2 linked regions of the Canis lupus familiaris genome follow. The protein of the gene in region 1 interacts with the protein of each later gene in a biochemical or structural test. Links are inferred from orthologs where the notes say so. Each region holds a gene or a part of one and is shown in the gene's direction. Other genes may lie near its edges.

The links.
Region 2: the proteins of TEK (region 1) and ANGPT4 form a complex in vitro, tested with the Homo sapiens proteins (2 studies listed by BioGRID and IntAct). The link is inferred for Canis lupus familiaris from reciprocal best matches to the Homo sapiens genes TEK and ANGPT4.

Annotation. Positions count from the first base shown.
Region 1 is NC_049232.1:45,610,947-45,615,726, forward strand, and holds part of TEK (angiopoietin-1 receptor), read left to right. Parts: intron 1-588; coding exon 589-659; intron 660-1,680; coding exon 1,681-1,721; intron 1,722-2,645; coding exon 2,646-2,742; intron 2,743-4,117; coding exon 4,118-4,217; intron 4,218-4,780. UniProt on the Homo sapiens protein: Tyrosine-protein kinase that acts as a cell-surface receptor for ANGPT1, ANGPT2 and ANGPT4 and regulates angiogenesis, endothelial cell survival, proliferation, migration, adhesion and cell spreading, reorganization of the actin cytoskeleton, but also maintenance of vascular quiescence.
Region 2 is NC_049245.1:20,524,023-20,530,421, forward strand, and holds the start of ANGPT4 (angiopoietin-4), read left to right. Parts: upstream 1-2,715; coding exon 2,716-3,024; intron 3,025-6,399. UniProt on the Homo sapiens protein: Binds to TEK/TIE2, modulating ANGPT1 signaling. Can induce tyrosine phosphorylation of TEK/TIE2. Promotes endothelial cell survival, migration and angiogenesis.

The DNA of each region.
Region 1 (4,780 bases):
TATGAGAGAGAGAGTGGGGGGGAGAGAGAGAGAGAGAGAGAGAGAGAGAGAGGCAGAGACACAGGCAGAGGGAGAGGCAAGCTCCATGCAGGGAGCCCGACGTGGGACTCGATCCCGGGTCTCCAGGATCAGGCCCTGGGCCAAAGGCAGGCGCCAAACTGCTGAGCCACCCAGGGATCATTACAGTTTAATTCTTGGTTTCTCTGCCTCCCTCCCCTTTCAAACTTCTGAGTGCCTCCAAGAGCCACAAAATGAATAAATGAAATGCCCACCAGAAAGGCACTTAGCCATCCACACGCACACAAACCCACACATTTAATTATTATTTTTTTCTTTATGTAAAACTGTTGTAGGGACTGCTTGAGGTCAACAGGGCTGATAGTCTTCGCATGTCTTTGAATTCGAGAACACTCTTGTGTGTGTCGTGTACACAAACCAGCAATTCCTGATCCTACCATAACTTAAGTCTGGGGGATTCAAAGTAGAGTCCCCTGTGGGCTTGAGGGAGCCCCAGCTCCAGGCAAGCTGTGTGTCTTGGGAAGGGTCCCCATCTTGCCTAAGTGGCATCTCACTTTGTTTTCTCTCCAGGGAAGGCTCCCAGTGCGCTGGATGGCAATCGAGTCACTAAACTACAGTGTGTACACAACCAACAGTGATGTGTGAGTAAGCCTTTTATTCTGAGGTTTGTTTTTTTTTTTTTTTTCCAGAAGAATAAGCATTTGACAGAGGTCTTAAAGCGAAATAGGAATATCCTGTCCCTCTGTGGAAAAAAAGCTAGTCAATAAGCCCAGGAAATACATTCCTAGTCTGCAAAAATGAAGCCTCAGAGTAGACAGTTTTCACTGTGTAAGATCACTGGGGGCAGGCTGTGGGTTTCCTTCTGCCTGTCAAGGAGAAGTAGTGAATTCTCCATCTCCAGAGGGACAAGGGCCATATGGGGCTTCCTGTGGCTTCACCTCCCAGACTGACCTCAGCATGCAGGACCCAGAGCATGGAGGCAGGCTGCTGGGGGTCAGAGGTGGCAGGGGCAGAAGGCGGGCCAGATCAAGGGATCATCCTCCCTTGCAGCCTGCAGGGACAAGTCTCAGGAGGCTGGAAGGAAGGTTTGGAAGTGAGACGTACACCATCTTGCCCACACCTTTATTGACGGGAGGAAAAACTGAGGCCCCAAGGGTTCAGGTGACTTGTCCAGGGAGTTCAGCTTCTGCCCGGGGAAGGGCGGGGGGCCAGCAAGTACTTGTGTCCTCACTGCATGCAAGGTACATTTTATATGTTCTCTCACATCCTGTCTGCATAACTCCGAGGCAGCAACTGGTGTCCCCACTTTCAGAATAACCAAAAGGCCTCAAGAGGTTCAGTAACTTGTCCCAGGTGACGAGTATCAGGTGGCGGAGCTGGGATTTAACTCCAGTCTGTCAGCTTAGAAATGCACCTGCTGTCCCCAGTACCACTTTGCATTCTCCGCCTAAAGTCAGTGGGGGCTCTAACACTGTTTCCCTGTTAGAATCCTTCCACTGGCCTAAGAGGAGATGACACATACGCCACATACAGGGCCCTGTCCTAGGGAGGACACGTTTAACATTTCCTTTTCTGGCAAAGCGTCAGTCATCCAGAATTTTGAGGCAGAAAACTGGTCACCTTGTTTGCTGATTATTGGTTTCTCCATCATCTCCCCTGCAGATGGTCCTATGGAGTGTTACTGTGGGAGATTGTTAGCTTAGGTGAGTATCCGTGTTTATCCGCCAGGTGAGACTTCAGGCAATGGGGGTGGGCCCCTCCTATGCTTCCTCACTGTGGAATTCCACAGGTGCCATTTTTAGGTCTTTATGTGGCACCACCAGAAGGGACTGGGAATAGAACTTTAAAGGTTTCTCTGTAGGTGTCTGTTTATTCCCAGGGTTCTTTTTTGAAAGAACCTGTAGCTAATGTCATATTTAATACTAACAGCCTGGTGGCTGTGAGCTTCATTATAGGTTGTCTCTGAGCAGAGATGTCACAGAACTATCACAAGTTTGCTTCTACAACTTGAAGATGGTACATCACACAGCCATGAAGAGTCATCTCTGACGGCCATTTAGCAGCATGTGAAAACATGCAGGCCAAAACCCAGAAAGTTCCTTATGCTATGATTGCAGTTTTATAATTACTACACATGAAAAACCTGAGAGAACTACAAAGAAGAGTAATACAAACTATGGCTTGCTTCCTTCATACTTTTTTGGTATTTTCCAAGTTTTCTATAATAAACCTGTATGATTTAGAATTAAAATTGGTCAGTCACTATTATAGAACAAATAGGAACTGGATAACCTAACTGCAGGCTCCCAAGTAGGGAAAAGTGACATCTTATCGGTATAATAGCTGGGTTGTGCAGGCTGACTTAGGGAAGGGAAACAGCACAATAAGTCCGGTTCCCCATGCTGGATCTTTCCACTGAGGGATCGGCTGCTCTGTGGCGCGGTTTGTGGCACATGTGCCGCTGTGATGTGGAGTGGGTTTGCTCAGAGGGAGACCATGCTGCCTGGGCACCCTCCCTGGGCACACCCTGCCGTTCTCCCAGTCTCTCGGCTTGAGAGGCATGGGGCAGGAAACACTGCATTCCACACTAGAGGGGGCTTAGGGCAACATGGTTTTCTGTCTTCCAGGTGGCACCCCCTACTGCGGGATGACATGCGCAGAACTGTACGAGAAACTGCCCCAGGGCTACAGACTGGAGAAGCCCCTAAACTGTGATGACGAGGTGTAAGTCAGGCTGCACCCTAAGGCCATTTTATCTTAACCTCCCCTGCATGTTTCTTGGGCAGAGTATAATGAAGGGGTTACCTGATTCATACACACATACATATGTGTATATCTATGCATACACACACATTGAGATCCCAAAGAGCCAAAAAAAAAAAGCGGGGGTGGTTCCTTAAACTAAGACCATTGTGCAGTGGGCAGGGAGCTAAGAGCTTTATATGCATAGGCATCTGGGAGGAATTTAAGGTGATGGTATCAAGAAGGTGAAAATGAAGAAAGGCAACAACTGCAGAGGAGGTCTGAAAGAAATTCATGAATAAATGTATGAAACCTTGAAGCTAACTTTGGGGATAGAGATTTCAGAGCTGTGACATTAGGAAGATGGATTTTTTGGTCACAGAATCTTGATTCTGCAAGGATTATTTTCCAGGAGTAAGAATTATTCCCTGGGGAAGAATGATTAGCTTTCACCACCATTCCCAGAGCTACCTGAAGTAGCTGCTGCCTGACTGGCATTTGTGAAAGTGCAAGGCTCTAGGTTCAGCCAAGAAGTTATTGTCCAAGCTGAGCCAATTCTAAGAAAGAGTGGTATTAATTATGTCCCTGGTACCAGAGACATAAACCTAGACCATGCTAGGTTCCTAGTCTTTTGTGCACATCAGGTTCCCGTGAGGCATTTGGTCCCAATGTGAAATTTTGAGCCCCACTCTGACATCACTTCTGTAGGTCTAAGGTGAGTCGCAGGAAACAGCATTTTGACAACGTAAGTGGTTCTGACCCCATTTGAGAGAGTACTGCCTTAGACCAGGGCTTCCCAGACTATGTTCATGAGACACACAAGATACAAATAGATGATACAAGGGGGAAGAAGTGCTGTGGCCACTTATGGTTGGCAAATTCCATGTTAGGTCAGGTTAAATAGGTTTTTTGTTTGTAATGGCAAGACTTCTCAAGATTTTACTCTGCTGATCCCTAAGAGAGAGATGCAATAGATGGCACCTGGCAAATTTATTAGAACATGGAGTCTTTTTTTCAATGAATTACTAACCTTTGAGAGATGTGGTATTCCAAGGGAAGTGTTGCTCTAGACTCTGTTCTTTCCAGATAATCAGAAGAGCTGAGACCAAGATCCCATAGGAATGGTACTCAGGATAGGCACTAGTTTTGCGGAAAGAAGAAAAGAGGACTTGTGGAGTGAGGTGGGAGGCCAGATAGAAACTTGGGGCTGTAGTTTTGTGCTATTGATTAAATATAGACAGATGACCAAGTGTGGAATGCCTACATTATCTTCTCTTGTTTCCATACCCCACACTGGGCCATGCCAAGGACTGAAGCAGAGTCACAGAGTTCAATGCTTAACTCTTTCTTTTCCAAGATATGACCTCATGAGACAATGCTGGCGGGAGAAGCCTTATGAGAGGCCCTCATTTGCCCAGATCCTGGTGTCCTTAAACAGGATGTTAGAGGAACGCAAGGTAAGCATGGAGTTCTGGGCAGGCTCTTGAAACACAATGCCTCACGCACCCTATATGGCTTAAAAACAAAACAAAACAAAAACCCAACAACAACAACAACAAAAACAGTTGATACAACTCAACAAGTTGTTCTGGGCATAGCCTGAGATATTAGAGGGACATAAAAGATGTGCCCCCTGCCCCCAACTTTGAGGATGTTACCATTTCAGAGGTAATAAGATTTCTATGAAAGATAGTCACACGTGGTAGACATTAGCCTCTGAGATAGAAGGAACCTCATCAGGAATCTAGCCTGACTCTTGAATTTTGCAGAAGAAATATATACAAAGAGGTGAAAGTGATGTGTCTAAGGACACACAGCCGGTAGACAGTCTAGCCTGGTCTGCAGGTTCCTAGGGGGAGGGCCAGGAATTCCATAAACATGTCTAGCAGGTAGTTGGTGATACAGATCTGGGGTTGAAAGGCAAATCCAGGATAGGGAAATAGACTGAAAGTCACCACAAGCCAATCGGTAATTAAACTGGAGACATGAGTGATATCACACAGTGGGGGTTTGGGGGGTG
Region 2 (6,399 bases), on another chromosome or scaffold:
TAACTGGTTGACAGCCACGGTAACCAGAGCACTGCTGAAAGCTGGGGGTGGTGATAGATAGACAGCAGAGCTCTGGACAGAGCAAGCAGCATGTGCAAAGGCCCCAAGGTGAGAAATAGGTGCTGAAACGAAGATGCAGAGGCTGCCAGGGTCATCTCCCAAGCTTTCCAGAACTCTTCTCTTGATCCTACCCACATTTCTCCAGTGAGCAGGTAATCCTGTTTCCTCTTCTTTACAGAGAGCCATCTGTGTAATCATGGGCCTTGGGAAGAAAATGACATTCATTCTTTCAGTCAGTAAGATTAAATGCATAGCCTGATTGTGTGTGTGGTGGGGAGCGGGGGAGCTCCACTGCTCCAGCAGGTAGTGTAGATGCTCCCTGCAGCAGTGCATCAAGGAGGTGACTGAGGGTGGAGGCTGGGGGGCAGGTAGGGAGGAGTGGGGTGGAGGCTGACTCCTTCGGTGCCAGAGGGGTAAGTGGGAAGAAGTGAGATGAGCTTCAAACCCACCTGGCAGCAGAGCCTGCCTTTCTGTCCCAGTTCCAGGTCAAGCGTCTCCAGGCTGTGTGACTTTGGGCAAACCACTCTCTTGCTTTGGGTTTAGGTTTCTCCTTTGTAAAATGGGGACAATAGTGACACTGGCCTGGTCGGGCTCATACCATGTAGCTCAACCAATACAATCCTCACGTACTGCCCCTTACTCTGAGCTCACTCGTGCCAGGCACCAGGATCAGCTCCTGACCTGCATTAGCACGCTTCTTCCTCACAAGGCCAGGAGTAGTGTGATCCCATTTACAGTTGAGACAATCAAGGCACAGGTGAGCAAGCAGGGTCCTGAGCACACAGGAAATTCCGTGAATGCTGGTGGCTGATAACCAGCTGCCTTTCCTTTTCCTGCCAAAGCCCCACACACCTGGTTTAAAGTTCTCAGACGTCCGGATGAGCTCCTGGTTCCTGCTGCCCCCAAGCAGGCTGCCCATTCACAACTCCATAGGATTTGAGAGAACAAAGAGAGAGAGACAATGGCAAACAGCTGGTCGGGCCCTCATTCTGGGAAAAGCCCCAGAAGAAGGCAGAAGGCAGCACACCCAGAAGAGGTGCCACCACTCCTGGGAACCCCCTGCCCAGCGGCCACATCCCCCCAAAACATGTCCTGCCCTCATAGGGTTCATATTCCAGTGGGTGTGGGGAGGGGAGGATACGTAGTAACTATAACGCTGATCACAGCAATAGAAGTATTTACTTGGTGCTCACCCCCTGCCGTCCCTGTTCTAACTCACTTAATTTTCACACTTTTTAAAGATTTTATTTATTTATTCATGAGAGACACAGAGAAGCAGAGACACAGGCAGAGGGAGAAGCAGGCTCCCTGTGAAGAGCCTAATCAGCACTTGATCCCAGGACCCCGGGATCCTGACCTGAACCGAAAGCAGTCGTTCAACCACTGAGTCACCCAGTTGCCCCTAATTTTCACAGTCTTTGAAGTGGGTGGTATTATTTTCTTCAGTTCACTGAAAGAAAACAGTGGCACAGAGAAGTTAAGTGACTTGCCTAAAGTCACACAGCTGGGATAGCCAGGATTTAAACCAGTTAACAGGTAAAGTAAATAAAAAATTCGTCGGTCTCCAGGCTGAGGACCCACATTACTTTCACCGTGTAAGAGATGGGGTTTACCCAGCTTACCAGTCAGGGTATGGAGACACAGAGAAATTCAGCTGCCCACCCGAGGGTCAGCAGCTGGGGAGCAGGATTTAGAGGCAGCCACCTCCGACTCCAGGCTGGCAGAGGCACTTCTTTACCCCAAGCTATGCTCTTTGCAATCCGCTTCCCTTCTCGGGGCCAAAGGCAGTCCTAGAACAATCTGCCCCAGGACAGGACAGCCTCTCATTACTGTCACAACAACTGAGCCAGGGCCACCCCAGGGCATAACATCCCCCCCGTGGTCCCAAGGGAGAAGGGAGGCTGGGAGCCAGCTCCCGGCTAGAGCGCCCACTTCACTGGCCTCAAAAGGACATTCTCAAAAGATTGGACTCGCTGCCTCCCCTCCAGCCTCACCCCTCTGCCCCCCCTTTGCTCTCTCTGGGGGTCACTTCGCTTGTGTTCCAAGCACTTAACATGGAATCAGAATGGGGAAGGTAGGGGGGAGAGGGAAGGGGAAGGGGAGCTGAAACTTGAGATCCCAGCCTTTGGTGGGGGAAGGCTGGAGAGAGCCAGAGAGAGACAGAGACAGGAAGAGAGGGTTCAGTTGCCTTTGGTTTTCTGAAGCAGGCAGCTTTGGGGGTTTGGCGTGTGCGTGTGTGCATGTGTGCGTGTGTGCGTGTGTGCGTGTGTGTGTGTGTGTGTGTGTGTGTGTGTTGTTTTCTTTCTCAGGGGGAAGCCAGGCCTCCACTGGATAATAAAAGAACTCAGAGGCGAGGCCAAGCTGGGCGAGCAGGGCCAGTGCGGGGACAGGGCAGCTGTGGGCAGGAGTCAGGAGGAAGGAAGGGAGAGGGGGAAGGTTCGAGGTGAGGGGGTGTCTGCAGGCGGGAGCGAGGCGGTGGGAGGAAGCCGAGCAGCTGTGGTATTTGGAGCGAATATAAATAGCTGCCTGGACAGAGCCCGGCCAAGGGGTTCGGCTGCGGCCGGCAGGCAGGCCTGTGCGGCTGGCCTCGGGGGCGCGGCGGTGGGCAGGCGGGCGGGGTGCCGGGGGGCTCGGGGCCCACACCCGCATCTCCGGATGCTGTCCCGGCCGGCCATGCTGCTGGGTAGCCTCCTCCTCACCGCGGCCGCCCTGACCGTGGCCCAGCGCAGGGGGCAGGAGGCGGGCGGGCGCCGCCGGGCACACCGCGTCCAGCACGGCCAGTGCAGCTACACCTTCGTGCTGCCCGAGCCCGAGCCCTGCCCACCGGAGCCCGAGGCCTTCGGCGGCTCCAACAGCCTCCAGAGGGACTCGCCCGCAGCCCCCCTGAACCTGGGGGACTGGCCCACCCAGCGAGTGCAGCAGCTGGAGAAGGTGCTGGAGAACAACACACAGTGGCTGCAGAAGGTAAGGGCTGGGCCTGCAGGGAGGTGGTGGCGGGAGGCATGGGGGCTGGTCTCCGGCTGTCTCCATGGAGAGGTGGGGCGTCCTCCCCAGAGGCCTGCCCAGGGCACAAAGGCCAGGCTAATCAAGGCAATGTCTCTGAATTGTACAGATGGGGGTAATGAGAAACAGAGAAGGACAGAGATGGCCCTGACGCCGCACAGCAAGACTGGGCAGGCTCAGAGCTGGAAACCTGGCTCCCTCACAGCCATTCATTCACTCATCTGAGCGAAATCCAAATCAGTGAGCTCTGAGCACAGGCCTGACCCATCCTAGGGGCCAGGGATGTAACAGTAAACAGAACAAACAATACTGGACTGGTAGGGGAAAGAGGCCATGAAGAGATGAGTGATAAATACCTGCCACGTCAGAAGGTGACGTAAAATGGAGGGAAGAGGGCAAACGATGACAGGGTGGCTCCTTGAGGTCAGATAATTCCAGAGGACTTCTTGGAGGAGATGATGTCTGAACCCAGAGAACAAGTAAGATAACGGAGCAGCCCATGCTGGTACCTGCGGGATGGGCATTCACTACAAAGGGCCCAGCAAGTACAAAGGCCGTGAGGTGGGAAGGCAGTCAGGGTGCCAGGGGAACCTCGAGGACCAGCGCTGCTGGAGCAGAGAAAGAGGGGAGAGGGGTGCATGAGCAGGGGAGGGGAGAGGAGGCAGGTCGTGTCAGGCCTTGGGGACTGCTGGGAGGAAGAACTCTGGCTCTTGCTCTGAGCATCACAGGAGCCAGTGCAGCTCTTGGAGCGGGGGAGACACAGCTGACTTGGTCTGAACAGGATACACTGTAGGGGGCAGGGTGCATGCTGGGAGCCCGAGGAAGAGGCTGCTCAGCTGCCAGGCAAGAGGTGATGGAGGCTTGGGGCAGGACCCGGCTCAGGGAATTCTGCTTTATTCTGAGAGGGGGCTAATCGACCCTGCTGATGCATTGGGTACAGGGTGGCAGAGAGTGAGGAGTTGAGGACACTCCACCCTGTTCTGGACCAAGGCCAGGCCCACTCTAGGGTCTTCTGTCTTCATCCTTTTGGCAAACACTCTGAGTACATGGTGTGCCGGGCCCTTGACAAGGCACTGGGTACAGAGATGAATGAAGCTGGTGTGGCCTGGCACAGGCATGGGGGTGGGAAAGGTGTCCTGTGTGTTCCAAGATGGGGTTGGCAGGAGCCCCTAAGTAGGAGCAACCGAGGAAGAGAATGAGACCCAGGCCCCTGGTGCAAAAGACAGTCTGAGCAGTGAGCGGCGTGGCGTGGAGGGAAGCGCACTGATTCCTAAGGCCCTCAGATGTATTAATCGGCGCACAGCAATGGACAAGGTGTCTCTCCAAGGAGCACTGCCTTCTTACTCCTTGGTTTCCAAACTGTTCAGATCATGTGCCCAATCAGCAAACAATGTCTACGTCCCTGATACATGCATATTTATTTAATATATGTGCACATGTCCCCACATCAATATAAGTACAGGGAATAAAACAAAATGAAAGGGAACCTTCCATTTTCAAAAAGATGACATATGAAATCATGTAAATTGAAGTTTTAACAGTTTCCTCTGTTGTCCAAAGGATTACCTTGAGCACACCCTGGGTTTATCTGTCCCCAAGGTGGAGAAACTGCCCTATGCATAACTAACCAACCTGCTTTGCACACTTGTATATACACTCTTGTGCATGTGCACTTAACCTCCAGTCTTATTCCTGCCCTGACCTCAGCCCCCACTCACCATCTTCTCATAGTCCCTTTCCCACCTGCCCTCCCTGCCACCCGCCCTGCAATGCTGCCAACCTAACATCATCCTGGAGTCCCCCTCCAGGAAGGCCATGGCCTCACACACTGGAGCCAGCCCACTGGGGGCTCCGTGCTGCCCTGAAGTCTGTGTGTTTCCAGTTCCATGAGGGTCATCCCAAACCTCACCTCCCCAAGCCTCCATCTTTACTGTTCTCCATCCTCTCACCAGACCAACGACCTCCTGCTTCAATGACAAATGAGGGCACAGGGAGAGCTACTCTTCATCCACCTGTCCCACGTCTGCAATTTCACCCGTGCATCTACCAGTTCCCAAGACTTTTCTCTCGTTCAGAAAGAAGGGGTTCCTCCATGGCCCAAGGCTACACTTCCTTCCTAGGATGTAGATCCCATCCCCCTGCAGCCCCTGCACCTCCCCAAGCCAACTGTCCCCTCCTGTGCTCCCACTCTGCTGATTTCTTCCTTCAGTGTTTAATCCCATCTAAGCATCTCCCATGGGGGAAAAAAAAGGAAGAGGAAGGAGGAGCAGAGGAAACAAGCCTCTTCTCCAAGCCACACCCTTCTCTGCCTCTGCTTCCTCACATCCCATTTACTCCTTCCTCCAAAAGTCACCTCTCACATCCCACCTCCCACATCCAATGGCCGTGGCTTAGTCTTCATCAACTTGATCTCCTGACAAATTTCATGTTGCTGACCAATACCATCCTTCCAAAAACTGTCTCCATCCGCAAGTCCTCATCCACAAAACATGCCCACTCTGCCCTGCGTCCCTACTGCTTTCCCTACCTCCACAGCCCCACCCCGCACCAGCACCTCTGTCTCCCATCTAGACAGTCATTATGGCTGCTCGCTGGACTCCCTGTTTCCACCCTTCCCACCCCACTCCCTACCTCGTCCATTACTTCAGCAGACAGAGGGAACCTAAGTTAGATCCTGTCCCTCCTCTACTTAAAACCCTCCTGGGGCTCCCATCTCTTTAGAATAAAAGCAAAAATCCTTAGTCCCTAGAACACCCCCTCTCCAAGGTGCCCACAGGGTTCACCCAACCCCCCTCAGGTCTCTGCTTAAATGTCCCCTCCTTAGAGAGGCTCCCCCTGTCCATTCCATTTAAAACAACCACCCTCCCTCTGTCCCTCTGTATCCCCTCAACCTGGCTTTGGTTTTCTCTCTTAGCATGTATCACTACCCATTCTTAAAGCACTTCTATTGGCCTGTGCATCCGAGAAAGCAGGGACAAAGCAAGTGCTTTGTTCACTACTGAGTTCCCAGAGCCTAGAACAGTGCCTGGCACAGGGCAGGTCCTCCACACACGTCTGTGGAGTGAGTGAACTAATTAATACACGAAGGTCCCTGAGTCCCTCCGGTCACTCCAGTCCTCCCACACCCTGGAATGCCAGTGTTTCCCAGGGCTCTGTCCCTGCTCTTCCTTTCCTCTCACCCTTCATGGCACAGGCCCCACCCCCGGGCTGCCCCACCGCCCCTGCAGCACTGTCTCCCACCTGCCCCATGGTGGCGCCAAATCAGCATCTGGCAGTCTCCTGAGCCCCCAATCCATGACCCTGACCCTGCAGGTGTCTCTCCTCTCAGAGGCCATT